3 linked regions of the Tribolium castaneum genome follow. The main gene of each other region encodes a partner of the protein of the gene in region 2 in a complex. Links are inferred from orthologs where the notes say so. Each region holds a gene or a part of one and is shown on either strand. Other genes may lie near its edges. The genes, in order: PPP4R2r, serine/threonine-protein phosphatase 4 regulatory subunit 4 and Pp4-19C.

Region 1 (10,486 bases), on a different chromosome or scaffold from region 2:
AAGATTGAGTTTTCAGTTATCGGTGGGTCGCCTGCTTCGGCGCAGGTGGACTTTCCTTGGAGTTGGGAGTTGTGCACTCGGTCCCGATGTTGCCAACTCGATGAGGAGGTGCAAGCCACTTATTACTTCGTTAAAATAAAAGCCAGACGAGACATTATCTTAGAAAAATATGTTTTTAGCAACAAACAATAATGACTTCTTTAGATTATTGAAATAAATTGTTTGCTACACCCACAGAGTTAATTTTGCGATAAGTACTTAATTATGGGTAATTATTCACCCTCTGGGAAAAACGGTGGCTCATGCGAATTTAAAGATATTCTTGGAAAAGTTATTTTATGTATGTTCACGATATTAATCATTTTTACTAAAATATCTCATAATTGAGTAAACACAACTTTTGATGTACGAGCACTATACTTGTATTTTTGACGTATCTTTTATGTACAGGTAATTTATTTGAAAATATATCGGGTGATTCAAAAATATGTGGCATAATTTTAACCACGAATACCCCTCTACAATTAAGAATAGATAGGATAGTATTTACTGACCCACCACAAAAAATTGGAAAATTACAATTTTTCAAAAATTGGTATGGAAAAATGGTTTTTTGAAAATATTTTTCTTACCGTTCATGCGATTATTATGAAATTTTGCATGTCAAGAGACACAAACACGCTCTTTGATATGGTGTAAATGGAAATCTTGTAAAAGCTATACATTTCCGGTGACAAGGGGGCCCTCCTAGTTTTTAGGTGATAACTCAATTTTTCGGCCTATGAACACGTATTTTTGATACCAAAAATCAAAAGCTCAATTATTTTTTAATAAAAAAGGAACTCTTGCTTCATATCGCCAAAATGTACCGTTCTCGAGTTATTTGGGATTAAACTAAACTACACCGCAGTGCAGAATAAAAAAGTATAAATTTTGAGCATACCATTACCTTGGAAACTGTCGACTAAGAATGACACAGCTGTCATTGCTGTCACATTTGATGTCAATTTCATTTAATCTAAAGTAAAATTCGATTATTTCTTGATGATAATAGTTAAAGACACGATTATGTGTTGGAAGAAATAATGCATGAGCTAGCGATAGCCACCCCGGCATCACAACTTGATCTGATGCCACACCACCAGAAAACGATTTTCCCTCCAAATCGCGTTTTTATCGATATTTCAATACTTGCATTATAAAACTATAATCCAAATGAAGAATTAAAACGATCAGAAACCAAGAACACAACCTCAACTGTAACAAATAACAAAATAAAATCTTTTCAACCATTTATAGTACCATTATTGCAATTTTTCTTTAATAGGAAGTTAATTTAATCCACAGGTTGTTGAAACCTGCAAAGAATAACGCACGGTTTAATGTTTATTTACATTTTTTAAAATTACAAGAACTTCAACAACAATAAGCATGAAAGCAACAAATGCCGCTAGCGCGCTAGCTGGCGCCTGTGCTATTTTTTGTAAGCGCGAAAAAAAAATCATAAAGTCATAACGATTAAAAAATTCTTTTAGTATTTGGAAATGATGCCCTGATCACCCCATACTGGTAAGTCAAGAAAAAAAAAATGATCCAGGTTATTATTGTTGTTTAATAAAAAAACATTGACTTCATCATTCATATTTTTTTTGATATTCGCGCTTATGAAAAATAGCACTGGCGCCAATTAGCACGCTGGCGGCATTTGTTGCTTTTGTGCTCATTGTTGTCGAAGCTCTTGTAATTTTCAAAAATGTAAATTAACATTAGGCTGTGCGTTATTCTTTTGTGGATCAAATTAACTTCCTATTAAAGAAAAATTGCAACAACGGCATTACAAATAGTTGATAAGATTTTATTTTGTGATTTGTTACAGTTGAGGTTGTGTTCTTGGTCTCTGATCGTTTTAATTCTTCATTTGGATTATAGTTTTATAATGCAAGTAGTGAAGTATTGATAAAACCAGCAATTTGGAGGGAAAATCGTTTTACGGTGTGAAAACCTTGTGGTGTAGTCTCAGATCAAGTTGTGATGCCGGGATGGCTATCGCTAGCTCATGCATTATTTCTTCCAACACATAATCATGTCTTTTACTATTATCATCAAGAAATAATCAAAATTTACTTTGGATTAAATGAAATTGACATCAAATGTGACAGCAATGACAGCTGTGTCATTCGTAGTGAACTGTTTCCAAGGTAATGGTACGCTCAAAATTTATACTTTTCTATTCTGCAGAGCAGTGTAGAGTTTAGTTTAATCCCAAATAACTAGAGAACGGTACAGTTTGACGACATGAAGCAAGAGTACCTTTTTTATTAAAAAATAATTGGGCTTTTGATTTTTGGTATCAAAAATACGTGTTTATAGGCCGAAAAATTGAGTTATCACCTAAAAACTGGAAGGGCCCCCTTGTCATCGGAAATGTATAGCTTTTACAAGATTTCCATTTACACCATATCAAAGTGCGTCTTTGTGTCTCTTGGCATGCAAAATTTCATAATAATCGCATGAACGGTAAGAAAAATATTTTCAAAAAACCATTTTTCCATACCAATTTCTGAAAAATTGTAACTTTTCAATTTTTTGTGGTGGGTCAGTAAATACTATCCTATCTATTTTCATTTTTAGAGGGGTTTTCGTGGTTAAAATTATGCCACATATTTTTGAATCACCCGATACAATGGTATCCGGTTAGAACGAACTCAGAAAATGCATCACAATCAATTCGTTCGCTAAAAGCGGTAAATTAAAAAAAATGTCTTTTAAGTAGTAATTTTGACTTAACATTTGAAATAAGACTAAATAAATAAGTATAAATAAATTGAATCCTTTGCGAAATAGTAATATATTCATATATTACATGTTACAGATGTATACTGTGTGAATTATACTATAGTTGTGTAAATAAGGTGTTACAGTAGACCTCAAATGTGAAAATTGTAAAAAATAGCTCAACTTACTTTATCCGAATATTTATAGTTTCTGAGATATAGAGAGTTTTGGTCGGCGAATGAATTTGGCAACAACAAAAATCTCTGAGTTTAGTTCTGCCATAAAAAAATATGAAAATGTGGGCAAAAATACCACCGAATGTAAACTTTGGGAAAAAGTACTCAAAAGACGCAAATCTAGTTGACATTGCACTTTTTGACGAATTTTTAGACGCTGAAGTGGAGTAAAAAGTAGTGAAAATAGTAAATAAAGTTTATATAAAGTAAGATGATTAATTTTGACTTTTTAGATCTCTACTATCATAAAAAATTTGCACAACTCTCAAATTCACACTGTAATTAGGTTTAAAAACACACGTTTCCACCAGTTAAAATGTTTTCTGTTAAAAATTCAATAAAAAGTTCGTTATAAACGGAAAATCGCATCACATTTTAAGTCGAATCTAGTTCGTTATATCCGGAAGTTCGTTATAACATCCGTTATCTTCAAAGAGACACACACCACACCCATTTAAAAGAAAAATATTGAGGTGGTCGTGTAACCTTTATTTTATTCCTTCCACCACAAAGCAGCGACATTCGAAACGGGTGAACTTGAACCAAGATTTTTTCAATAACAAAATTTGCACAAAAGTCTCCAGTGGGAAGAAATATGAGTCGGAAGCTCATGAGTCGGAGCTAATACGGTGTAGAGTATATAAATTAAATTTAATGGCCTATCAATTTCACACAAAAAAAGTTAGTCAACATCGGCTACTTTGAAGTAAAACAACTGCTTGAATGTTTACATTTTATGTTTTTGCTAAATAGCATGTCGCTACAAGCCCTTCAAGTTTTATTGCTTGTTGAAAGGAGTAAAAGTTTTTGTCGGACCGACAATAATTTCTGTTTTGTGCTGTGTGCTGGTAAACAATTTTGTTGTTGCTAGTTTCTTTTTAGTTCCACATAGAAAATATTTATCTATTTTCTTTACTGTAACTATTATATAATTAAATAAACACATACAAGCAGAGTAAAATGAAACAATACGTTGATTCGTTTTTATATCTGGGCCAGTGTGTTACTTTTTGCAAAAGTCGCCCGCTTGCATCTGTAAGAGTTCTAAATTCTAATTAACACAAATCTTTTAAAGCGATTACGCTCGGGTATAGGGCTGCCTTACAAAAGAAAATAATCCTCATACGTGCGCAAAATGATACAAATACATAACAAATAATATATTTACAAACAATTCGGTATTATAAAAGATAAACAGAGTATATCATATTCATAAGCCACGTTAAAGCTATGTACAAAATAAAACTTACAAGGTATTTTTCTCTTACAATTATGAATTTTAAGCGTTTATTTTAAGTTCGTTTCTCAGGATTTTGCCGCTGGGGTTCCTTGGGATCGACTCGACGAATTTAACACCGCCGGCGATTTTTTTGTAATGGGCCACTTTGGGGTTTATGTAAAGTAGGATGTCGTCTTCACTCAGGCTGCTCCCGGGTTGGCGCACGACGAAAGCTCGGGGCACTTCACCGGCCAAAGCGTCCGGAATACCCACAACAGCACAATCGGCCACTCCGGGCATCTCCAGGAGCAGATTTTCAAGCTCGGTGGGCGACACCTGTTTACAAAAAAATAACGATTATTTCTTACGTAAATATTTAACAACGCGTAATAAAAAGAGTATAAAGTATGACTTCGTAACGTTAAATTCCAGGTGCCACGTAATAAAATAATTAAGGTGTGTTTTAAATTCAAATTAAAAAAAATTTTTGAATTAAAAACCACAGGGTATGCAACCAGTTATACAAAAAATCCGAGTGTTCGCAGAGAAAATATTTTTAGCGAAATCTCGGTGTCGCTCACCCGGTTTTTGCACACGTGTTAGACTTTGCGCTGTTGCTGATTATAATTTTTAATGACTGTACTTTAAAATCAAATAAAATTGTCTCGCGTTTAAATTGATAAATGACCACGTCCTTAAAATAGGCGCGCGGTTGCGCAGTTCGTCGATCACGTCCTACTTTGAGTGGAATGATATTGAACCGGCGCTAACTTCGTTATTGTCATTGGTGCGCTTGTTGACGCAAGTAGATGGTGATCGGTGGTGCTAAAATTTCGCGAAAAAAACAATAACAATAATGGAAAATCCCGAAGAAATACTCCACAGTTTAGAGGAATTCTCGAAAACCAAGCCCAAGGACATACCGCGCGAACTGGAGGAGTACCTTTGTTTTGTGGCGAAAACAGGGGACCCTGTGTACCAGTGGTCGGCAATAAAGAGCCTCTTTCGCGAGAAGATGATTAACGTTATAACGGAGTTCTACGAGACGTGCCCTTCGGTCGAGATACCCCCTTGTCCCAACGTGGACATTTTCAATTACGACCTTATGAAGAATTTTATTTTAGAGAAGTTGGACACGTTTGCGGCGGCCCCCTTCACGTTACAGAGGATTTGCGAGCTGTTGACGACTCCGAGGAAGGAGTACAATCGGATAGACAAGTACATGAGGGCCCTGGAGAAGAATATCCTAGTTGTGAGCACCACTGAACCTGGGGGCAGGAGGAACACGGAGAACGGGGAGGGCATTATGAACGGGTTGGAGTCGGAACATTTGCCGGAAACTAGCAATAGCAGCAATGACATCAACGTGGAAGAAATGGACGATGCGCCAGCTTGGCCTAGATTGCTACAGAACGAAAATGTTCCATATCAAAATGAGAATAGCAACAGTAATGACATTCAAACCCAGCCAATTGTACAAGAAACGGTGGTCACCGCGTCTAAGCTACCAGATGTGGCCTGCAGCTCGTCTCAAGACACTGTCATAACGTGTCGAAGCTCAGAGGAGCCCTACGTTTCGATTGAACCTGTGCCATCAAATACTTGCACCAGATCAGACCCAGATGAGACGGATGTCTCGGTTACCATCACTGCCATACCTGCAGGGGTCCAAAAGAGACGAAACAGTGTCGAACCGGTCGTTTCGTCAGAAACCGAAGAAATCACCGAGTCTTGTGTAAGTACCAAGTTTTGATCAAAGTGTCCATGTGTTTGAAGTTGGCAACATTAATTGCTAAATGGTCACGTCACACTCAGGACAGTGTTGCCAGGCCTCGCAAAATTTCACCAAGTTTTGTGATTTCGTAATTTCAAAATTTCTTCGAAAATTACTAAATTAAAAAACTGTTATCAAACCATTAAAATCACAAAATCCCTCGATGTAGTTAGTTTAGGAGCGAAATTTCGTAAAAAAAGTCAAAAAACCGTAAATAGATTTTAAAATTGTTATTTTTAGCTTTTCAAGCACGTTTTTGAATAAAATGCAATGTGTTTTTCAAGATTTTACAAAATTTTGTTCGTTCTATTCGCCTCTTTTATTTTGAAAAATCTTGTTAAAACGCGCCAAAAAAATACAAAAATAAATGAAAATTGATGGTTTCACTTAATTTGCTCATTTTTGAACAAAATTTCGTAGTAAAATACCCTAAAAGACGCAAAATTTGTGTGGAAATGGTGTTATTTTTTTTAATTTTTTAAGTATTAACTAAGCTATATTAACAAAATTTTCTTGAGAAGACCGAAAGTTAAGAAATAAGAAAAAGAAAGTCGGAAATATCATTATTTCTTCCTTTTTTGTGCGTGTGGACATATTTTACAGTCCGAAATGTAAATATTTCGTAAAATTTTGTTGTAAAGAAGCTTAAAATTTGCCAGCTTTTTTTAAAAATGGTGATTCTATGCATTTTCTATGCATTTAAACGTATTTTTAACGCGAAATATTTTTTCCCTTTTGAAAGAATATCTAAAAAATACGCAGCTTAGATTGTCTCGCTTGGTTTAGTTTTATTTATTTTGCAAAATCTTGCTAAAACGCCTCAAGAAGAAACCGAAATTTCTTAGGAAAAAACATGTAAAAGCGCATTTTTGGAGTTATTTTTCACCATTTTCAAGTTTTTTTTTCTTGTGAGAATGAGCATGTTTTAGAGCCTGAAATGCAAATTTAATAAAATTCTGGTCAAAACAAGTCCAAAATCCACCAAATTACGCTAAAAATTGTGCTGTTTTACATTTTTTGAGGATTTAGACGTATTTTAAAAACGAAAATAATTTTGCAAAAATTATATTAAAATTAGTATCAATTGGCAAATTATGTTGTAGTGTAGTAGTAGATTAGTAGATGTTTTTTAGCTTATTTGATTAGATTTTATTCGTCTTTAAACCTGTCTCCTTTATTTTGCAACATCTAAAACGCTTCAAAGAAACTGATGGTATTTAACTGTTGCACTTGAAAAAACTCAAAATGTGTTAGAAAGTGTTGTTATTTTTTTATTCCCTTTCGAGATTACAGCAAAATTACAAAATTAGATTGAAAATAACATTATTAGTTTTTGTGCAAAATTTCTTAGAAAAAAATCTGAAAAGGTACATTTTTTTGGAAATGGTGTTATTTTTTAACTTTTTCATGTATTTTTTTTCTTTAGACAAGACCAAAAAATTAAGCTGGAAATATTCTTTCTGTATTTTTTGTGTGTATGAGCATGTTTTAGAGTCAGAAATGCAAATATTTTATAAAATTTTGTTCAGAACAAACCCAGGATTATGCTATGGTGCTATTTTACCTTTTTTGAGCATTTAGGTGTATTTTAAAAACGGAAATAATTTTTTCTTTCGAAAAATTGTACTATAATTTACATACAATTGGCTTAACAATAAACAAATTATATTATAGTGTAGTAGTAGATATTCTTTTTGCTCATTTTATTAGATTTTGCTCGTCTTTGAACCAGTTTCCTTTATTTTGCAAAGATCCAAAATACTTCAAAAAAATTGATGGTGTTTTACATGATTTACTATTTTTGAGTCAACTTGCTTGAAAAAAATATACGAAGAAACGCAAAATGTGTTTGGAAATGGTGTATGTTTTAATTTTTAAAATCTCTTTGAAATGAATAAAAAATTACAAAATTAAATAGAAAAACACATTTCTTTTTGCAGTATTTTTTATTCTTGCAAATGTGCATGTTTTACATTATGATTTTTACCAAAGTATTGCCTTTCCGCGCGTTTACGCACGTTTTTAGGCTAAAAACTGTTTCTTAACTTTGCTAAAATTGTCTCTTTTCGTTTCGCCCAATTGATTTTTACGTTTTTAAGCAAAATTTCGTCAACAATAATAGCAAACCAAAAAAAAGTCTGATAATCTGATGAATAAGTGGATCGGGGATTTTTTCAGTTCGGAGTTACGAGTGTGGCAGTTGTGCCAGCTTAATTTGGAAAACATGTTTTTTCTAGGACCAATCTGACAAAACCAGCGAACCTTCCAAAGAATCTGAGGCTAAACAAGAGGAAACGCCTTCGTCGCAGCAAATCGAGGACGCAGACTCGTCCTCAAGCGCTGAAGACGACAAGGAATCGGTTGAAAGTAAGGAGGAGAAAACTGTGGACGATGCGGTCCCTCAGAGCGAGTTATCGTCGACTGAGTGCGATAAAAACGAGGATGAAGTTGGCACATCGCAAGAGAAACTTGACGAGAATCCGGACGAAAGCGAAGAAATAACTGTCGATACCACCAAGTGTTCAAATGCCTCCCCAACACCACAGGAAGAAACTAAAGAAGACCTCGAAATTACGTCTTCTGACAAAATTGATGAGGTGCACTCGTCACAAAGCGAAGCTGAAGCGAAAATTGAAGAGACTGAGAAATGTGAAGAATCTCAAGCTGCTCCCGAAGAAGGGGTGAAAGAGGCAAGTGAAGAGGCGGCGACTGCGATGGATGTGGATGAGTTTAGCGAAAAAGTGGAAGAGGTTGTCAGGGCTGAAGCTACGTCAGACTCACCTTTATAATTTAGATAATTTTTTTCCTTAATTAACGATCAAGGCTAACAAACGCGCCTTCTTAATTGTTAAGTATTTATACAATGTGTAATTATGCAAACGAAGTTTTTTCATTTTACTAGAATCTGTAGGGTTCGTCTGATTCGTCAACAAAATTCGTTTTTTTTAAATTTGTATGTAGAGCGTAGGTAAATAAATTTGTACGTAATAAAGAACTGAATAAATGGTTTATCTATTGAAACCTTTGCATCTTTTTGTCAAGACCGACATCCTGCCTACTTTTACAGAGAAAGTGGAGCGAGGATAAAAATTGAACCGGAATTAGTCTGGTTCGTGTAGGCAGCCAACAAAACAGCGTTTTATTCTAAAAGAGTTTTCTAAAGCACGTTGAACTTTTTTTTTTTAAATCCAAAATTGTTGGAATATTTTGCTTGTTTCACTCATTTATTCGCTAATTTTGGAATAAAATTTCGTCCCAATAAATAACCAAAAAACGCCCTAAGCAATCAGTGGAAACAGATTACGTTATTACGAAAATTTCAAGCTGTTTAGCATGTTTTGAATTAAAATCTTAGTTTTTGTTACAAGACGTTGCGTAAAACAATGAATAATTGTCAAATTAAATCAGTAGTAATGTTTTCAACAAAGGAAAATCTCTAAATGATAGAAATTGATGCTATCCTAAATTCTTACCCTGTTTCACTTGATTTAGTTCATATTTCATTAAAATAAACTTACAAATCACAGAAATAATAAAAATTGAAGATTTGTTTTGCCTGTTTCAGTCGATTTCGTTGTTTTTTTTAATCCTAATAAATAACAAGAAAACCTTCAATTTTATTTTTACTTTTTTTCAAGCTTTTTAAGTGTGTTTTGAACTAAGATTTTGGGTTTTGGAAATTTTGAAAGCCGACCCTGTTCAGATCAAAAAAATAAAAGGTCCATTGGCGTAATCAACAAAAAATTGTTACTAATTAGTTGGAGCTCACTATTATAACAATCTGACAGATTTAAAGCAGTTGTATGGGCAATGCTATCAGAGTATAGCCGCGGCATTCAGAGAGTACTTAGAGTAGGTAAAAATAATATTGAATTTTTTAAAACAATTCATTTGACGTTGTTAGTCTGATCAACTCACAAAATTGTTTAAAGCCAAAGAACTTGCTGATTGTAATATTTTGTAATATAGTGAAATAAATAGGTGCTCATATTATTAAATTCTCCTTAGAAAGTGGCTTTGTTTGAATTGTGGGTATCTTTTAGAATATCGAATTCACGAATTCTTAAAGATTTCGATGAACTGTTTTGCCTGAAATTATTTGCTTAAGAAATGATCAGCGATTGATTGGATCTAAAAATGTACCTCACACCATTATTATTTAGATAGATAGGTACCTCAAAAAACGGTAAGTTACAAAGTCGTAACAAAATCAGTGAATCAGACAAACCTCGCTTTTCACCTTACAAGGATAATTACGTCACAGGTTATATTTTTGTGTGACGGTTTATTCATACTTTTATTCTTACACAATTATTGTTGTGCCGTTTAATTTTCTTCAGTTTGTTACTTGCTGTTTCGCAAAGGTACGCCTCGTAAAATAAAATATGAATTTTGCGGTTTAAAAGTTTCAAGTTCGTGGTTTAATCGCGGAAAAAAGAGTTAGTCTGGAAAGTTTTACTTTTACTACTGACGTACTGCATT
Region 2 (10,508 bases):
TGTGGAATAAATGACCCACTTTAGTTTCTGTAGACAGAAACTTCGTAAAGTAACTATTTTAGTCTCGGAAGTGCAAAAAATAGCGTATTTACCTCGGGATCAAAGTGCCTAAATACCTTAAATGGTTGTTGCCCTTTAACAAATTCCACTCGCGGGATTAAATGCTGCACTTTAGTCCCTCTATATATTGGATGTTTTATTCTCATCCCACAAACGCTGCTAGAAAAACGGTAGGTGATTTTATTGTATACAAGGGGTCCGTTTTCTGAGTTCCACCATGGGGATCTCCGTTATTATAAGAGATACGAGGTCGATTGAATTAGGGCAAAGTTGCGCATGTTTATGCTGAACAATCATCTGCAAGAAAATTTGATGTGTCATTTTTAAATTTTGAATTATTGGAAAAAACGGAAACTTGTAATTTTCGTTTTTATTTTTTCAAGTGAAAATGAAAAGAACTAGACGTTTTTAACTAAGACGTTCTTCAGGTACTTTTTTACAAAAAATCTGAAACCGTCATCGTATTTTTCAAAGCGATCTTGATGTCAGAGTTACTACACTCAACTTTGTTTTTTTTATAGAACCCATATTCGCTTTTTGTATTTTTGAAAAGTGTTTTTATTCTTGGTTACAACGATGTATCACATTGTAAACGTTGATCAAAATGGAGAAAAAAGCATTTTTGCGAAGAGTGCTTTGGAAAAACGTCCAAGATTTTGTTTTTAAACAAACTAGATTTTGGAGGTGTAATTGAATTTGGATCTGGAAGGTTCATTTTTCTGCCAAGCTTACGTATTTAAAAGACTTTTTAGTTATTTAGTTTGCTAGACAACATTTTTGACGTTCTTTCCAAAGCACTTCTTTGCAAAAACGCTTTTTTCTTAATTCTAATCAGCATATAAGATTCGATCATATCATGGTGATACATCATTGTAATCACAAACAAAAAGACTTTTCAAAAACACAAATATTAAATATGGCGTCCATAAGAAAAACCAAATTTGAGTGTTGTACCTCTGACATCAAAAACTCCTTGGAAAAGATAATGACAGATTTAAAATTCTTGTAAAAATGTGCCTAAAGAATGTCCTACTTAAAAGCGTGTAGTTCTTGTGGTTTTCGCTTAAAAAATAAAAACGAAAATTACATACAAATTATTTATTTTTCTCAATATTTCAAAATGGCACATCAAATTTTCTTTCAGATAATGGTTCAGCGTAGAAATGTGCCACTTTGCCATAATTTAACCGACCTCGTATCTCTTGTAATAACTGAGCTCGAAAAACGGACACCCTGTATAAGCGGCAATTATTTTTTATATTGGTTTTTGGAAAAATTGCATGAAAACATTTAATATGATGTCTAAACTCAAAACATTAACAAAAAAACCTTCATATCTTTATAATATAAAGCAAGAACGAAAAAATTACGCTCTTTGTGTAATACTCTTAATAACTCTTACAACTTTTTTATTTTACTTTCTTCGTTTTTAATTTTTTTATACCTGTGTTTATACTTAGTACCGTAATCATAACGTTAGAAGTGAATGTAAAAAAAATCGACTTGTTCGAGGATTTTTTTTTAAATTACTCATAACCAAGATATGAATTTTGTGCGTTACTTTTGGTTCAGTATTTTGATTCTTTAACACTACTTTTGCAGAATAGCCAAAAACCAAACGATAAGTCTACAAAAACTTGCCGCTTTTTGTAGAAACCCTTTGTTGACAGAGTACCGACAAGAAGAACTGAGAAGACAGTGTCTAGATTATTGGAAAATTCCAGACAAACCTAAAATACCTCTCCCCAAGTACACAACGGAGAACCTACTTGACGAAACAGTCGAAAATAGAGGTGTGTCATTTTTTTAATTTTAATTTTTTTCTTTAATATTATTTTTACCAGAATTACTTTTGGTGCAACCACGTGAGATATACTCAATTGAACAATTACAAACGGTTGTGGATGACTTAAATGACTGGCATTACGCTCTAATGCAATGTAAAAGAGCCACAAACATTTGCAACTTTTATGCAGGTATTAATGGTTAGGTTTATTAATCCCCGGTTAACATACGAGTTAATTATAGGGGTGGGATTATCGCGAGTCTATCGAATGCAGGGTAATAAATGGGTGAGAGTGAAAAATTTGCAACTGGTTCGAGGGACCTTACTGTATGGAGAATTGGTAAAGGAAAAATGTTACATGGAAGAATCAGTTGGAAAAGTTGGATATAAGTATAGTTTACACGTAATAGACGCATTGCGATTGGGAGACCTCTACTTGACTGATCTAAAATTTGACGAAAGGTAATTTTAACTCTCTAGATGAATTTTAAAACTTCTTCATTTTTTTTGTAATATTTTGAATTAGTATACAAGGTGCCCCTGTTAAAAGTATTTTCTATTTTATCTCAAAAACGAATTATCATCCAGAAGTGAGCATAATTTTTCAGAATTTTTCGGTAATTCCTTACAACAAATATTAATTTTAATATTAATCCAACATGCAATAACTATGCATATTATTTAGGGTGCATAGAAACTTTATCCCATCTTACAAAATTTATTTGATTTAAGACATTATTTAACAAAAATAATGGTCAACATTTATAAATCAGCCTTTCCAGGAAAAATGTAACCTGACCCCAAAATTCAAAAATGATTTTAGTAATATTAAGTCTCTTTCAAGCTACACGATTCGGTTTATATTTAATGTATTTTGCGAGAGAACGGATTTTGACAGAGGATATTATTATTATTATTATTATTATTATTATTATTATTATTATTATTACAACTGTTGAATATTTTTTGAAAAGTATTTTTCTGGTTTCTGGTAGTTTAGAAAATGGAAATCGGTAAATAAATTGATAAATAATATTACTTTTTGATCTTTATAACTTTTGTTGTATCATCCGTTATCAAAAACATAAAATGTTCTTATTTTTTACGTTGTTAGACAAAACCAAGAACTTTTAATTTCCACTCTCTAATTAATATTTAAAACCTGTCCGAGTAAATTTTTTAGAGCTATTTTCACACACAAGTTTTTTTTGTCCCGTCTGTCATATGTAAACAAAAAATAAACTGATCAGAAGTCGTAGCACATTGCCTTATTTTTCGGTTTTGTGGTTTTAAAAGTTTCAACAAGTTCCACCTTTTACTTTAAAAATAGTTGTTGGAATTAGTGCCTTTTAAATTAACAGAATTTTAACACGAATGTTCAACGATAAAAATGTGTTTTTGTGTCCCGTCCGTCATCAATTTGTATTTCTTTTTCCTACTCTTATTTCATATTTTAAAAATGTGCCTCTAATTGTAAGTTACAAAGAATTTGACTGGTACTAAAATCCTATAAAGAAAAATTCACTTCTACTAATACTGGGCGTCAAAAACTGAAAATGAAATCTAAAAATTTGTCCGTTTAAATGGAATGGCTGAAATACTTTTATAAACTTTGGTGCACTTTTTAATTTTTCTGTTCACATTCTTTGGATTGTAAATTTTAATGTGTTTGACTATTTTAATTTTAAATTTCTGGCGTTTATATGCTCATTAAATCATAAATTAACAAAATTCATTTCGCACTTTTGATGTGAAGTTGAAGTTACATTGGATTATTTACTTTACTCTGTTTTTTTAAAAACAAAAAATAAGTACAATAATGTAGTATTTTTGTTAAAGTAATTAATTGTGAATTGAATGATAAAATTAAAATGAGAGAACATAAGTTAGAGACGTTATTAAATTTAATAATAAGAATTCGGGCCAAAGTCTTATAAATAACAAATTGTAAATGTTAAAACTTCCCTTGAAATGGGAGTAATAAATTCAAATTTAGAAATCGCTTACTTTTTTGAGTTCTTTAATTAAGTTCGGGTTTTAAGTTTTTGAGTATATTATTCACGATTAAAGGATTTTAGGTTCAGTTTAGATTTTCGGATTAAATTTATTTTTTAAATTTTCATATTTAAATTTGTGTTTTAGTTTGAAATTTGTTGCAGACTTATTTGCGTATTTTTCATTCACAAACTTTTAATTTCGTAAACACTTCGATTTTACACTACGTATAAACACTACCAGATTGCATTTTTTGGACGTAATCAATAACTGCTTTTTCAAATGTTTAAAGTTACTTAAATATTATATTTTTTGTTATCAGTAAGAGACATTTATTAACTGGTTAATATTTTTCGAAAAAAAAATATTTAAAAGCATTTTAGAGGCAAAAATAAAAACTAGGTGTTGTATTATTATTTTAGGTTATTCAACTTTTATTTATTATTTTTTTTAACTTCTCCAAAAAATGTTTAAATCCTTTAGTATTTTAAGGCTTAAAAGAAGAAAGTATGAGCTTTAAATGCTTTAAGCTCATACTTTCTTCTTTTAAGCTGATTCAATTGTTTTTTTTTGCGGTTTTAATGTAATGATTTTTTTAAATATGTGCAGATATCGTTAGTACTTTAGTTTTTTAAACTTTTAAGCTAAATCCAAATTATGGGTGTTTTATTTAAAAACAAAGTTTGAAACGCATTGTATATACTTGAAAGTAATTTTAAGTGATATTAGAGGGTCATATCTATATTTTTTTGAATTTGTTTAAATATTTTAACATTTTCTCGCCAATCATGAGCTTTACCAACTCGCTGGTATAATCTATGGGCAAAAATAAGCTTCTCGCCACAAAAATTTGAAAGAAAAACTTCTTTTCTCAGGAAAAAAAAATTACAACCATGTAGCAAGTAATTTGACGATTATCATAACTAAAAACTGGAGCATGCTGTTTTTTATGACTTCGTTTTCACCCTCCAAATTTCCTAAAACTGTAAAGACTTTATCGTTATTTTTTGTGTTTCTAACTAAAACTTCTTCTCTTAAAATTTACTACTGAGTCCTAAAATTTGAACCCACTTTGCCCCAAAAAATGTTATAAATCGTTGTTTTTTTTGCAGAATTAAACTAATTAAAATCTATTGCAAAGCAATTAATTATGAATTTCGAACGAATAGTATCAGGATTCGTCCAAAATCAATACATGACTTACAGTCCTTATCTTTGGATCTTCCTTTAACTAAGGATCAGAGTTCTGGAACATATTTTTCACCATTGCCAGTTTTGGGTTATAAAGTCAATAATGAAGGTTTTGAAGTGAATTCGCTTCTACTTTTAAAAACTGGCCAACGTAAGTAGGAGAGTTACTAATGAATTTTATTTCATGATAATGTTTTAGACCAATCGTTTCATTCTACGTATGTTCTAAGGGTGCAAATGTTTTTGGAAGGGGACCAACATTTTTCCTTGGATAGTTTAGTAGAGTTAATTCGGCAAAAAAGGGCTTTGTTGTGACATGTGTGTTGTGTTCGTTGTTATTAAGTAAATAATTCACTTGCAGTAAGGAATGCATTAACTAGATTCTCAACGACGTTAAAAGATCACAATATTTTTTTTCCTACCTCATATTATCCATTTTTGAGTTAACAGTATTTCTTAGATTAATTAAGTTGTTTTAACACTTGTACTTTTAGGTCACAAACACTGTAAATAGTTTTAGAATCCATATTCGTTGACTCGTTGTTTTTCATGTTACTGATAAAAAATATATTTTTCTTAAAAAAAATCACTGATCGATTTTGACTTTTGTCAAACCAAATTTTCCTGTCAACATTTCTCTCCTTCCAAATTCTAAAATTATAGTACAGTTAGGTCAAACCTAAACAAATTAACAAAAATGGATGAAGAACTCACCAATCTGCAGCTGGACAAACCAGGGGCTTGGGGAAACAAAGTATTGAAATCCTACAACTGAAGCAAATCTTTTTGTTTTATTTTGTAAAGCTATAAGATTCGCTTCAGAGGCAGATTTTGTTGTTTCTTCATATTTATGGTACTCAGGTTTTTGTAGACGAACGAACAACTCGCAAAACACACAATTGACTCGCAGTTTGAATCAAAACCGATTGACAGAAGTCTTCATTTGCTGCGGTAGGTATTTCAGATTTTTGAACTTGCCGCCAAAAAATGATGTTTGTGAAATGTGTCACATAACCTAATTTTTTAAGTATTTTTCTATTTTTCTTTCTCAAATTACAAAAATATCACAAACTTTTAAAATGTAGCTTAATGTTCAACCCCATACTTTAAATTACAATTTTATTCGGTGCGTTATGGATTTGGGGTTATACGATTATCCCCCGCAGACTTCAGTGGACGATGATTATTTTTTGTTACAAGAGTTGCTCATGTATTTGCTAATCTGGGCCCAAGTAAGGTTTAATTATAATTACTCTTCATTATAGGAAAGGCGATGACATTCAGAAATTAAGCGTAATTCAGGCTTTGCCCCAAATCTTGCAATATGATCCAAACGGAACACTTACAAGACTTGTGCCAAAAATACAACAAGAACTGCCAAAATCCTCATGCGAGTTTCACATAGCCACTAGTAAGATATTTAAATTGTTGATTGAAAAGCAACTGCCTTTGAATTTAACGGGGGCTGTAATACAAGGAACCGAGTCTAAAGACCCTGTGGTTTCGAATGCGTGGACTGAGACTCTTTTGGCTGTTATTCCAACTCTGCCAATTGATCAAATTAAATCAGCAGTAAGTGTGCAATTTTTTTAATTGATGTGTTGTATTTAGAGGTGTTGTAGGTGATACCGTTAGCATTGGCTAAATCGCAGCCCTCAAGTCCTGTGTATTGTCGCGTTTCTAGCTGTAAAATCTTGGGAAAATGTGCGTCACATCCAAAAATGCAGTCGATAGAGTAAGGGGAGGTGATTTTTTAAATTTCTTTTTGACTCGCATTTGCAGCGTCAAAGCTTCGATTTTGCCGGCTGTTCAAAGTTTGTGCCAAGATTGTTTTCAAGACGTGAGGGCCACAATGTGTTCGCAGTTGCACTTCATTGCACAGGGTTCGTTAATAAATAATCACTTTTAAATCTTATTGTCCCCATTGAAAGTTTATACAAAAATTAATAATATCTGCTCGTGTTCAGATCACGAAAGCTAATACTTCTCCAGCATTTTAATTAAATACTAGTACTTAATTTTATTCTCTATGCATGTGAATTTTTTCACAAAAAGAGTTGTCATATTGAACACCAATAAGCATAGGCGTTCCTTTTTGGCGTAATTTTTTTTCTCGGATTCCTTCATGGCCCTATAAATTATAAAGTAAGTTTTCATATAGTATGTGTTCACTTTGATCTTCTAGAGTTAATTTAATCGTCAGGTAGTTTTCGTTTTTTATTCTTTTTAGAGCTAAGTCTACCATTTCTTTTTTTATTTCTTTTTTCTACGTCTTTTTTTTTCTTCAAAAATCTGTTGGCGCTTCAGATATCTTTGTTGTCCTTTTTCAATTTTAGTTTTCTCTTTCAATAATCTTTGTTCCATTGTTATTATGTATTAATCGAATCCCTTTTCTCTTTCTCTTCTTTTTTCAATTTTTCCAGCAGTATACATTGTAATGATTATAGATTATATCTTATCCAATATTTGTTTTTTTAATTTCTAAGAAACTTGTGCAATAGTATTAGAATCATCATTAACATTTTCAATTTTTTTACATTTCTCGTATATTTTCAAATCAATTACTTCAGCCTTTTTCTTCTTTCCTTTGGCCTTCTGGTCAAATTCAATCATCACCAATACGTCACAGAAACTTAAAAAAAATTGATTAAAGCATTCTTTTTGAGGTACTGGGGTTTTTTCATTATTCTTTAGTCCAACAAGAGTTAATTGACCAATGTCTGTCGATATATTTGTAGTATTATGCATTGATTTCCTACTGTAATACACGCAGTTTTTTCTTTTTCTAAGTTTTTTTGTTTCTTTTATTTTGCCTTTTTTTTGTTTTTTTTTTCAATTTTGGTTTCCTGTTTTAACCTTTCTTCCCCTTTTACTAACAGAACCTTTCTTTTCTCTTTTTTTTCTCTTCTTTCCTTTCTACCTCTTTTTTTCATTTTTGTTTGTAACTGTGTTTGTATTAATTACTTCAGTTTTTTTCCCTGCATTTCCATTTTTTCTATAATACTACTTTAAAATTAATTATAAATTATAATTAAGTCTCTGCATTATTTTTTTATAATTTCTAATGATGTTTTGAAATAAACGATGCTTAATGTTTTTTGCAAGAATTAAATAAAAAAAATTGTCGCTAGCCCCAAATTTAAAAATTAAATTTATTCATTCTGTAGCTCACATGTTTCAGCTCCCATTTAATCGTAATATAATTAAAGTTTTGGAAAGTAAATTGTAACTAAAATTACGTAAATGAACATTAAGGATCGGTTTACAGAAGCGTCATTAATTTAAATCGAAGCAATTTGGTTGGTTCATTCACGTTAACTTTTAACAACGAATTATATTTTAACAATTGCGTTCTTAAAAATTAACAACGCGAATGGACCAATCATATTGGCCCCTTAGGGCCGGTTTATAGAAAGCTTCATTAAATTTTAATTCGTTGTTAAAAGTTAACAACAAGTTAACAAAACTGAACCAAATTGGTTCAGTCGAGTCACGTGATTAGTTAAAAACGCATTTAATTGCGGATTAAATTAATAATTCTTCTAAGAGTCGGTTTACAAAAGCGAAATTAATATTTAATCCGGAATTAAACTAATTCCAATTAAGTTGCTATTTAAAATGCATTGACAATTGTCAAGTTAATCTCGAATTAAAATTTGATTGCAATTAAAATGTTCCGTAAACTGGCTCAAAAATTAATAAATTACTAATGGAACTTATTTGAGTTAAATTTCCATTTCGTTTCAATTGAATGTGAGTTAGACAGCAAATAAATTTTTTCATAGGCTTTTTGGTGGCTAGTGACAATTCTTTTACGTAATTCTTGCACAAAACAACAGTCAAACATAGCTTGTTTAAGAAGAAAAAAAGTATCTAACAGCAAACGCCGATTTCTGTATGATTTTTAGTTTTTGTGGTAGCATAAACTTTTAGGAGACTTACCCTGTGTACATTAATTTGAAGTAAATTTATTTTTTGAAGGTTTGGGTGAAAGTTTGGTAAAAACTAGTCTACTTCCCAGTTTAGTTGAGTTAGCCTCTGATGATAATATGGCCGTTAGATCATCTGCGGTTGCTTCAGCGGTTTTAATGATTCCGTATTTAAATAAACGTAAGTGTAATTAATGAAATAATGGTTTATTGGTAATAACTATTTTTTGTAGAGACTAAATTAGAAACCATTGTTCCTTTAATTAAACAGTTGTGCCAAAAAACTTCAGGTCCGGGTGATACTACTTTTCCGACAATGGCTAGAGAGTATGGAAAATTAGTAAGCGCATTGCAAAGTGATTTGGAAGTTAATGATTGTGTTTGGACTCTTCAATTTTTTAAAACTTTGGCGGCTAAAGGGCAAACTGTGCGTGTGAATAAGGACAATTTGGAAGTGACACAGGTAAGTTAATTAAAATATAAATGTTAATCTAAGTACGAAATTCGGAAATAAAATTAACTAGACGCCCTCTGGTGATGACTTTTGAACTATGTCGAAAACAGTAAAGAAATTTTCGTAATGCCACATTTAACTGACATTTAATGAATTGTTCAACAATTTTGCGTGTATAGTGTTAATTACTTACAATAGAAAGAATTACTTTAAAAGTACGTGGTGGTAAATACTAGCGTTGACTTTGGTTCTGTAGTTTTTCATGGTATAATGTGTTTATTGTTCGAACTTGAAAGTGGATAAAAAGTGAAAAATATTTAAATTTTGATTACAAAGTGTTATCAAACAGTTGTCTAATTAAAGATTATAAGTAATGGATCACAGCGAACACAAAGTTTGGCTCAAGAAACCAATAAATTAGTGAAGTGTTATGAATTTTAGGTTAGAATTTTCCACTGAAAAAATCATGAAATGCTGCGGTAAATCTACAAAACTACAATAAAGATTAACAACTGCTGATACATTTAAACGTAAATTATGCCAAAAGGTAGGTTTTTCAATGTCTTTGTAATAATTTTCCAATAAAGAAAGTGAACCAAACAGTCATTCGTTATTCGTGTTTTCCTCATCATCTCTCATTTGTCAACATAAGTTTCTTGCATCAAAGATGAAATAATCATTCCGCATAGGCAATGTAATAATTGTGAAGCCCCAAAATTCGTACAACGCTCAAAATATCCCAATAAACATTTTCCCGCCATTTATGGTTACTGTTTTCGACCTAGCTCAGTGGCGCCCCCAACGGTAATTTTACTTCCGAATACGAGTTAGCAGACTTGGAATTTGCTAAAACATGTAATTCAAAAGATAAAACCAGACAACTTTTTGTCTTTTACTTCCACGAAATCTCTTGAAATAATAAAGTATTGGCTTCATTGGCTTAAAAATGTTTAAGCCCCGGTTTCTTGAATGAGTGATCGTTATATAAATTCTATCGCTTCCATAATTTATCTACAAACACCAATCAGATCATCTCTACCTTAGCAACTAGCCAACCAACAAAATTTACCTATCGATAAATCTGACTTAAATT
Region 3 (10,232 bases), on a different chromosome or scaffold from region 2:
GACCACGCCCCCAAATAACAAAAAATAATTTCCAGAATCCGGCTACGATTTCATCGTCGTCGGCTCTGGTTCATCGGGTGCTGTGATTGCCAACCGTCTCTCCGAAAACCCCAACTGGGAAGTCCTCCTCCTCGAAGCCGGTAAAGGCGAAAACTTCTTCAGCCAAATACCCCTAGTGTGCCCCACCCTCGCCTTCACCCACTACAACTGGGACTTCATCGCCGAATACCAACCCAACGTATCGTTCGGCTTCGAAAACAACCGAATGAGATGGCCAAGGGGCCGGGCTTTGGGCGGGACCTCCGTGATCAATTTCATGATTTACACACGGGGGAATCGACACGATTACGACCGGTGGGCGGGACAAGGCAATCCGGGGTGGTCCTACAGAGACGTGCTCCCTTACTTCATCAAATCGGAACGCTCCACGTTGAATAACCCCCACCCCGGCGTCCACGGAACCAATGGCTACTTGGGCGTGTCCGACATCTACCAATCAGAGATCTTGCGGGCGTTTATCGAAGGCGGGAACGAACTAGGCCTGCCTTATTTCGACTACAACGCCAATGAAAAATCGTTTGGGGTGTCGCCAATACAAGCGACTGTAAAACGTGGGCGGAGACACACCACAGCTCGCGCCTTCCTCCATCCAATCAGACACCGGAAAAACTTACACATGCTCACTAGTGCTTTCGTCACCAAGGTCTTAATTGACCCAAACACGCGGCAAACTTATGGAGTTGAATTCTCCCGATTTGGGAGGAAATATCAAGTTACGGCCTCCAAGGAGGTTATATTATCAGCAGGGACGTTCAATTCGCCCAAATTATTAATGTTGGCCGGGATTGGTCCACGTGACCACTTGGCCGAAATGGGGATTCCCCTCCTGGAGGATTTACCAGTGGGGCAAAACCTCCACGACCACTTGACCTACCCGGGATTAAGCTTCATTATCGATAAACCCCTCTCCCTGTCCGTCCTCCACCTAATTAACCCCAAAAACATAATCGATTTCCTCTTCAACGGCACTGGCCCTTACACCAGTCTGGGCGGAGTCGGTGGGATTGGCTACATAAAAACAAAAGAATCGCTCGAAGTTGAGGACATCCCCGATATCGAACTACTGTTCCTTGATGGCTCCCTTAGCACCGACTACGGCCTATGGAACCGCCGTTGGATGAACATCCGTGACGACGTTTACTACCCCGTCTACGGCCCCACCCACAACATCCCCACCTGGACCATCTTCCCCATGTTGCTCCACCCCAAATCCACCGGTTACCTCAAACTCAAATCGCGCAACCCCCGCGACTACCCCCTCCTCTACGGCAACTACTTCACAGACCCCGCCCAACAAGACCTCAAAACAATGCTAGCCGCCATCCGCTACATCCAAAAACTGGCCAACACTCGACCGTTTCAAGAAATGGGAACGCGGATGAATCCGAATCCGATTCCGGTATGTGCACACTTGATTTTCGACAGCGACGCCTACTGGATGTGCGCCATAAGGGCTATAAGTGTGACACTGCACCATCAAGTAGGCACGGCGAAAATGGGGCCGAAGGATGATCCCACAGCGGTGGTCAACCACGAGTTGAAAGTGTACGGGGTCAAGGGGTTGCGGGTTGCCGATTGTAGTGTGATTCCGTTTGCACTAGGAGCGCATACGAACGCACCTGCGATTATGGTGGGGGAAAAGGCGGCAGATTTGATTAAGGCGGATTGGGAGAAGGTGGCACGATGAGGGTGGTTTTGACAGAGGTGTCAGAAATGGGAGAGTTGTCCAGTTTAATGGACGTTGACCAAAGCCAAAATGTAAATTTTTACAAATAAAGATTCAATTAGTGATTATTGTTTCATTCACGAAAACATAGCAATGTGTATAGAGAAAATTAAGTAAAAAAATTATTGGTTCGAAGTTTTTCACGATAAAAATTCACCAAATTAAGCAAAATAATGTTTTTTTCTATAGCAGATGTTAAACTATTTCGTTATCAATTCTATGTAGATGAAATAGCAAGAAATCAACCGCAAAAATTTACAAAATATCGGAATATAACTTTTTTCTCTTAAATTTCATTAACTTGAAGGCCTGCTACAGTAAATAATGTAATAATGAAGTACATGTAAATAATGCGTTATAAATACACATAAAAAATTAAAATGCTGTCAACAATAATTTTGACCAGCGTTGTAGAAGAGAACAAGCCCGGTCCTTCAAAATCAGTGTTTTTATTCTGTGAAACTTTTATTGCCGCATCAATTGAACAATCAAGTGTTACAATAAAAAAAATTACACAAAAATTGTTGTCTCTTGTATTTTTTAACTTTTTTCATTTCAATATATCTTTAAAATTAAGCGTCTTAAAAATATCAGTTTGCCTTTTCAAAAACAAACAAATTTTGCCCTTTTTATTGCCTTTTACGCTTTTTTGCCATTCTTACTGTTTTCTTTTGCCTAACTAACCGCCCTCTATTTATTTATCAATTTGTAAAATAATTCCACTCGTGACTTTGTCATTCTTGAACTTAACATTTTCACTCGTAGAGTATAATAAATAAGCAAAGGCGTATCCAGGGTGGGGGACGGTGGAGCAGCTGGCCCACCTTTTAAGTTTAAAAATATAAAAAAAAACTTATAAAAAACTAATTGCCTTTCAGCATTTTGAAAAAACCTTAGTAAAGATACTTGCATCAAATTCGCGTGAGAAGTCATAATAACATGAGATCGAAAATAAACTTTCGAGAGAAATATCCTAATTTAATGTTTAATTGCTACTCGTTTTATTGTTATTTGCAAAATTTAGTAAAACCAATTAGGACTCAAGAAAATATGAAGTGGCTAGAGTTACACTTCACTTCAAAGCTTGCTCTAATTGAGTACATTTTCGATCTCATAGTATATTAACTACTCAGTTAATGTTAAGTTAATGTCGTTAGTAAGATGTTAAATTTGAAAACTGCCCCTTTTGTTTTGAGCTGAATACGCTCCTGATAATAAGTATTTATTTTTTGTAAGTTTTTTGAGTTTTTCAATGATTTTTTTTTAACTTGCTTCAGATGGCTACGCACAAAATAAAAGCAAAATTGATATTATTTATTCAGTTTTTTCGTTCTAGTTTGTTAGTTTTTGAAGTAGAGTCTCTATCTAAAGATTTTCATAATATTATCCTGTCAAACCACGACAAAAAAACAACAATAATAAATCCAACTCGCTCTTCCCCTCTTTATTACACTCGATTTAGCTCGCTCTTGAGAAAAATCTCGTGAAAAATTAGCCAAAAAAACACAAAACTTGATCGAAATTGGTGTTATTTTAACTTTTAAACTTGCTTCTGAACCAAAGTTTGAGAGCCTTTTGCAAGTTTTTACTAAAACAAACCAAACTGAATCGATAATTATGTTTTTGTTGCCTATTTAGCTCGTTTTACAGCCAGAGGTGTAATTACATCAGCCGGAGGTAATCTGTACTGAGGTATAATTATTCTGCAAAATTTCGCTACAAACCAAAAATTCACCAAATAAGACGAAAAATGGTGTTTTTTTGAGATAAAAATTAAGAACTTTTTCGAAAACCGGCTAAATTCAGCTAGTTTTCACTTAGTTTCTTAACTAAAAACTCATTTATTTTGCAGTATCACAGACGCCAAAAAATGGAATTGATATTGTTACGTGATTTTGAGATTTCAAAAGTTAAATTTTCAGTTTTTTTGTAAAATTTCGCTAAAACAGATTGAATATTACATTATTTTAACATTTTTCAAGCCATTAGAGGCTCCAGTTTATTGAAAATTTGATAAAATTCCGCGCGGATCTGGTGATTTTTATTTTTTGAGTTGGTAATACTGTAAGCACCACTGCTTAAAGAGCGATTTACACTAGCCGATTATGTCCGACTTACACCACGGAAAAAAGACTGGAATGACTGACTTTTTGGCCATTAATTTTCAAAAAAATTGTAACCAGAAGACTGTCTTTTATTTTTTAATTCTAGTAGTTACAATCACGATCATGTTATACCACTGCAGTAAACAGTAAATAAACATATGCAAGGTTGTTCCAGATAGGTACGCCCATTGTAAAACAACAACAAACAGGCACACCAACCAAACACAATACAAATGTCAAAGGTCAAATAGTAGAGCACTTAAATTTTATTGCAGTTAGGCAATAAATGAAACACATGATTAGCGGGAATTGTTGAAAACAATTTATGACTAAGAAAAAATCTTCTTTTGATAATACTTAATTAATAAAATAACACATTTTTGTCATATTAAAAAAACAAGTTATTAATAAATCTCTAAACCGGTAAAGATGAGACGTTAATTATTGAAACGTAGTTTTTGTATCTCACTATCAATAATACTACAATTAAAAAGTTATTTTTATGGTCGGGAATTCTATTTATTCTTATCAACAACTAACGATTCACCTTGAAAATACCCCAAAAGACCCCAGATTTTGCATGCAGGTACCCCAAACCCCGCAAACGCTGTAGTACAGCCCCAGCCACCCTTGTCCAAGCTACCCCAATAAAATTACCTGAAACAATGAGGGCTTCATTCGGTCCCACCGTATGGATATTTCCCATGTCTCCCAACACCTCGGCACCACACACACAGTCACAAACCCTCCACAAAACCCCCTTAAAATTTCAGGTTAAACATGAAAAAACTCCGCTTTAATTTTTTAAGCCGTAATCATACTACGACCTACTGCCTAACGCAGGCGCACCAACTTTATTTAAACAACCCTAAACGCAATTTCTCCCCAATTTAACCGTCCACCGTCGCTTTCCTGCCGAAATAAGGGTTGAGAACGTGCGCAGAGTAGCGTCGGTGGCGACACGACGCCGCCGCTCAATTGACATTTGTGAGTCAGCCAATCGGACGTATGTCTGAGATTAGGGCATCGGGGTGCTGTGATTAGTGGCTTTGGTGGGGGCTTTTTCGAACTTTTATTGGAAAAAGGTACGGAATTTCGCCAGAATTGTGGGTAATTAGCGTTTCGCAATCGTTTGGGTTCAGTTTTGGGGGTTTTTGGTTAAGTTTGGGTGACCTAACCTCAACTTGTTACTTTTTGTTTTCGTTTGACGTTTGAGCTTGGGGGCCCGTGTTTCAGGCACAATGGGCGATACCAGCGATTTAGACCGGCAAATCGAACAGTTGAAAAGGTGCGAAACGATCAAGGAATGCGAGGTTAAGGCGCTGTGTGCGAAAGCTAGGGAAATTCTTGTTGAAGAGAGCAATGTTCAGAGGGTTGATTCCCCGGTTACGGTAAGCGCAGCCCCCGGAAGGGGTCACGGTTTGGTTCATTGTGACTTGCTTCAGGTTTGTGGCGACATACACGGCCAGTTTTACGACCTGAAGGAGCTCTTCAAAGTGGGGGGCGACGTCCCCGAAACGAACTACCTGTTCATGGGGGACTTTGTCGATCGTGGGTTTTACAGTGTTGAGACGTTCCTCCTGCTACTAGCCTTAAAAGTAGTACCGAAAACGTGACGCAACAAGTAAAAATTTACGATCATTTTTTTAGGTTAGGTACCCCGACCGCATCACCTTAATACGAGGCAATCACGAGTCGCGTCAAATAACCCAAGTTTACGGATTTTACGACGAGTGTTTACGCAAATACGGCTCCATAACCGTATGGCGGTATTGCACCGAAATTTTCGATTACCTCTCACTTTCGGCTATCATTGATGGCAAAATTTTCTGTGTTCACGGGGGGCTGTCGCCCTCCATCCAAACCCTAGATCAAATCAGAGTCATCGACCGGAAACAGGAAGTACCACACGACGGACCAATGTGCGACCTGTTATGGAGCGACCCTGAAGGTAATTAATAGCCCCCTTGAGTCGCTCCCAAATTGAAAAAAAAAATTGGTGGCCAAGTTGGCCCCGAAAAATTATATTTGTGTCCAGAGTTAGTCATGAAAAATCAATGTTGTAGATACCCAAGGTTGGGGCGTGTCGCCCCGAGGGGCGGGCTATCTGTTCGGTTCCGACGTCGTGGCCCAGTTTAACGCCGCCAACGACATTGACATGATCTGTCGAGCGCATCAGCTGGTCATGGAGGGCTACAAGTGGCACTTTAACGAGACTGTGCTGACAGTGTGGTCAGCTCCAAATTATTGCTACAGGTAAAATTACCACTGGGAGCGCCACTGAGCTAGGTTGAAAACAGTAACTTCAAATGTCGGGAAATGTTTATTATGATTGTACGAATTTGGAGGCTTTCGTTTTTCTTATGTCTGTATTTTCGAAAAGTGTTTTTATTTCTGATTGCAACGATGTATCACATGATATGATCGAATGCTGGTTAAAATGGAGAAAAAATATTTTTGCGAAGGATGCTTTGGAAAAAACGCCAACAATTTTGTTTTTAAACCTACTAGATTTTGGAGGTTTATTTGAATTTGGATCTAGAAGCTTCACATCACCACCAAGCCTACTTATTTAAAAATTAAACCACATGATAAACAAACTTACTAAACGATACATTAAATTCGTTACTGTTTTCGACGAAATGTCGTCAACAAAGGGCGTCTAGTTTTTTTTTCCAAACTGGGCATTTGGTAAATTTCGGTTATTTTTTGTGTTTGCAGGTGTGGCAACGTTGCCGCAATTTTGGAACTGAACGAGCATCTGCAACGTGATTTTACGATTTTTGAAGCGGCGCCTCAGGAAACTCGAGGCGTGCCATCGAAAAAACCACAAGCTGATTATTTTCTGTAATAGTTTAGTTGTTCTTTTATAATTGTAATATACATATTATACTCTTGGTCATCTGTTAATTCATAATTAATTCATCAGTTGTAGTTACGTATTTTTTCATGGTCTTCAATTATGTTTAAGACAGTTTTTGTTCCAGTTGTCGATTTATCCCTCTATTGACTTCGAAATTCTAAAACTGTACTTATAGTGAATTTATTTATTTAAAACCATGTATTGTACCATTTGCAGACTGCCAAAATACATTTTTTTGTAAAATTTGAGTTTTATTTCAAAGATATTGCAAATTAAAAAAATAATGGCGGCACTGGCAGCCATTTTGGGACGGCTAATTCAAAACCGTACCCATCGCGTGTGTGATAGCTAAGCAAAAAAGCCTTAAAACGTATAATTAAGCTTTGAATTGAAGGTTTCTTAAGTTTTATGTTTCAAAATCGAAATTTGAAGCCTCCAGTCATAAAAAATCATTTTCCATGAAGCAGTAATTCTTTGTAACAAGACACCCCAAGCATTTGTGTCAACCACAAATTACAAAATTTCTGAAGCTCAATTCGTAATCCAAATCAAACAGTTGTTATTCCTATTTACTTATCTGTCTCTCATTGGTTTTATAATTTTTATTTTGGAACAATTCGCGTCTACACGACTTCGTACCATCGGGACGCTTGATTTTGACAGTCGCGGCATCATCAAGCCCAAATATTTTCGTTTTTTCGTGCTTTTTTTACCAAAAATCCGGTGCATAAGCCCTTAAAAACATCCCTTTTATCAATTCAACCCTTCGTGGGCTTCTAGTGCATGAATTGCGTCAACCATGACCGACGAGAGGCTCCACATTGTAAGTTAACCCCAAAACCCCCAAAAAAATCATAAATTGTCCGTGTTATTTAGGACTGGGGTAACGATAAGTTGCACCGCACCCAGAAGCAGGTCGAGCGCAACCCCTACGACCTCGAATCATGGTCGATTTTGCTGCGCGAGGTGCAAACCAAGCACATTTCGGAAGTGCGCCCCCTTTACGAGCACCTCATCGACATATTCCCCAGCGCGTCGCGCTACTGGCGCATCTACATCGAGCACGAGGTGACCTGAGCCCCCTTGTCGGCACTAACCTGACTCACGATTTTTTACAGATGAAGTCCCGGAATTTCGAAAGAGTGGAAAAGGTAGGAAAGCCGTTAAATTGTAAAGAGTCAAACGAAATAAAAACCATGACGCTAGACTTGTTTTAGTACTTTCAACCCTTGCTGTTGTCGCGAGCATTTGTTAATGAATTGGGGAATATTTTGTGTCTTTTTTCCCTCTCCAGGCGTCCAATCCTCGCTAAATAAAATGTTGCCAAACGAGAATTTGTTTTTTTGTTGCGCCAATATTCTCCTTTCGTTAACCAATGTTTGGCGGGTTTGTTCTAAATTTTTCGTTGTTCCAACAGTTGTTTCAAAGGTGTTTGATGAAGATCTTAAATATTGAGTTGTGGAAACTTTATCTCGGATATGTTAAAGAAACCAAGGCTTCGCTCCCGACCTATAAGTACGTAAAACCGCCCTCTAGCGTTTATCCCATGTTTTGATTCATTCTTTAGGGAAAAAATGGCACAAGCCTACGACTTTGCCTTGGACAAAATCGGAATGGACATCCATTCGTACTCGATTTGGAACGAATACGTGAATTTTTTAAAGGGGGTGGAGGCCGTGGGCTCGTATGCGGAGAACCAGAAAATTTCAGCGGTGCGTAAGGTCTACCAAAGGGGCATTAATAACCCCATGACGGGGATGGAGACCTTCTGGAAGGACTACATAGCCTTCGAACAAGTAAAAACCCCCAAAAATTACGAAAAAAAATTATGCAAACATTTCAGGCCATTAACCCCATTATTGCGGAAAAAATGAGCATCGAGAGGAGTCGCGATTACATGAACGCGCGCAGAGTCGCCAAAGAACTCGAAGTACAGATTCGGGGGATTAACAGGAACGCCCCCAGTGTGCCCCCCAACGGAAGCCCAGAAGAGAGGAAACAAGTCAGTTATAGTTGGCAACTCTGCCGAATTATTTCATTGGTCACAGTAGTACAAACTATTGGCAATACTGACTTAATTACGTTAAATATTTATCAAGAAAACCTAACAAAAATACGTTTAAATCTGTTGCCAACAGATACAATCTACTAGGAGTAAAAGTGATAGTTTGCAGAACTTTGCAAATATTTCATCTGAGCCACATAAACTCACTTATCGGCAAACATATTTATTCAAATGACATAATAAAGACAGAATTTTTTAATCCATTTCAGAATTTCACAAAAAACTCGATCCTCAAAACTCTTAGTTCTTGAGGTTAAAGGAGAACACGTTTTAGTTTGTTTCTAGTCTGGCAGATGACGTGGATTTTTTTAACTGTTCTTTTTTTTCGGAAACGAAAAAGTGTTTTCAACATACAATTTTAATTAAATCTGAGCGAACCGTAACACTTTTTTTTATTTTTTGACTTCGTTATGAAAAAAAAAATTCTCATAATAAAAAATATTTAAAAAAACAAGAAATCGAAACGTACTGCTTGGAAGTAGCTGTGGATTAATGTAATGATTGGCTTTGTTTCTCTTATTCATTTTTAGTTTACATAAAAAAATAAACTATTTCTGAAAAGCTATTTTTTCTTAAAACTAATTCTATCACGTAAAAATCTGCGTTTGCTAAAAATGCTTATTATTTTTTCTATGCATATGAATTTCTTCAGATTGTTTGTACAGTTCCTTATAACAATTATTATCAATGAATTGAAAATATTAATAGTAATATTAAAATTAAAAATATAAAAAATAATATAAAACTAAAAAATATCCCTAAACAACTCCTACTCATAAACGTTAATAAACGTATTATAAACGTAAAGTATAAAAAAATATCATTAATATTTGTTTAAAATTTCAAGAAAAAAATGTCAAATATTTTTTTAAGTGTTACGTTGGCACAAATTCTAATTGTTTAAACGACCCAATTTCATTATCAATTAAAAAATTAAAAACAGAAAAATAATTTCCATTGTACTTTTTTTAACTCTGCCTTAAAAACAGATGCTGTCTGTATTTCGTCACATATTATTAATATTCTTGCCTTAAAATAAGTAGTAAAGGACTTTTTCGTTTTAATGTTAGGCAGATTGTAAAGTAGAAAAATTTTACTCGTTACTTTTGCTGTTAAAAAAAATTCTTTCAGGTCGAGCTGTGGCAGAAATATATCGCGTGGGAGAAGAGCAATCCGCTTCGCACCGAAGACACGGCCCTCTTGACCAAACGAGTGGTCTTCGCCCTTGAGCAATGCCTACTTTGTTTGGGACACCACCCTGATATTTGGTACCAAGCGGCACAGTTTCTCGAATACAGTTGTAAAATTCTAGCCGAGAAAGGGGTACTAATTAATTTTGGCGCCAAACTTAAATTTGTTTATTTTTTGGTGGTTTTAGGACGTCAACGCTTCGAAATTATTTAGCGAAGAGGC

The links.
Region 1: serine/threonine-protein phosphatase 4 regulatory subunit 4 (region 2) and PPP4R2r share a complex: the UniProt entries of both Homo sapiens proteins name them as parts of the PP4 complex. The link is inferred for Tribolium castaneum from reciprocal best matches to the Homo sapiens genes PPP4R4 and PPP4R2.
Region 3: serine/threonine-protein phosphatase 4 regulatory subunit 4 (region 2) and Pp4-19C share a complex: the UniProt entries of both Homo sapiens proteins name them as parts of the PP4 complex. The link is inferred for Tribolium castaneum from reciprocal best matches to the Homo sapiens genes PPP4R4 and PPP4C.

Annotation. Positions count from the first base shown.
Region 1 is NC_087402.1:9,723,019-9,733,504, forward strand, and holds PPP4R2r (serine/threonine-protein phosphatase 4 regulatory subunit 2), read left to right. Parts: upstream 1-4,943; 5' UTR 4,944-5,086; coding exon 5,087-5,965; intron 5,966-8,241; coding exon 8,242-8,793; 3' UTR 8,794-9,025; downstream 9,026-10,486. Other genes in the region: uncharacterized protein LOC107397720, read right to left, coding at 4,291-4,566. UniProt on the Homo sapiens protein: Regulatory subunit of serine/threonine-protein phosphatase 4 (PP4). May regulate the activity of PPP4C at centrosomal microtubule organizing centers.
Region 2 is NC_087394.1:13,839,127-13,849,634, forward strand, and holds the start of serine/threonine-protein phosphatase 4 regulatory subunit 4, read left to right. Parts: upstream 1-5,646; 5' UTR 5,647-5,729; coding exon 5,730-5,786; exon of another isoform or gene 5,787-5,900; intron 5,901-5,903; coding exon 5,904-5,983; intron 5,984-6,021; exon of another isoform or gene 6,022-6,165; coding exon of another isoform or gene 6,166-6,242; intron 6,243-6,297; coding exon 6,298-6,604; intron 6,605-6,654; coding exon 6,655-6,767; intron 6,768-6,814; coding exon 6,815-6,915; intron 6,916-9,013; coding exon 9,014-9,142; intron 9,143-9,194; coding exon 9,195-9,424; intron 9,425-10,508. Other genes in the region: Cmtr1 (cap-specific mRNA (nucleoside-2'-O-)-methyltransferase 1), read left to right, coding at 1,663-1,853, 1,905-2,036, 2,089-2,308, 4,954-5,183, 5,232-5,347. UniProt on the Homo sapiens protein: Putative regulatory subunit of serine/threonine-protein phosphatase 4.
Region 3 is NC_087401.1:11,676,518-11,686,749, reverse strand, and holds Pp4-19C (serine/threonine-protein phosphatase 4 catalytic subunit), read left to right. Parts: upstream 1-4,822; 5' UTR 4,823-4,976; exon of another isoform or gene 4,977-5,001; intron 5,002-5,127; 5' UTR 5,128-5,132; coding exon 5,133-5,282; intron 5,283-5,336; coding exon 5,337-5,489; intron 5,490-5,541; coding exon 5,542-5,842; intron 5,843-5,957; coding exon 5,958-6,147; intron 6,148-6,612; coding exon 6,613-6,742; 3' UTR 6,743-6,997; downstream 6,998-10,232. Other genes in the region: glucose dehydrogenase [FAD, quinone], read left to right, coding at 36-1,747; Flo2 (flotillin-2), read right to left, coding at 4,549-4,597; protein suppressor of forked, read left to right, coding at 7,554-7,577, 7,631-7,822, 7,873-7,905, 8,172-8,269, 8,322-8,550, 8,598-8,756, 9,951-10,142, 10,198-10,232. UniProt on the Homo sapiens protein: Protein phosphatase that is involved in many processes such as microtubule organization at centrosomes, maturation of spliceosomal snRNPs, apoptosis, DNA repair, tumor necrosis factor (TNF)-alpha signaling, activation of c-Jun N-terminal kinase MAPK8, regulation of histone acetylation, DNA damage checkpoint signaling, NF-kappa-B activation and cell migration.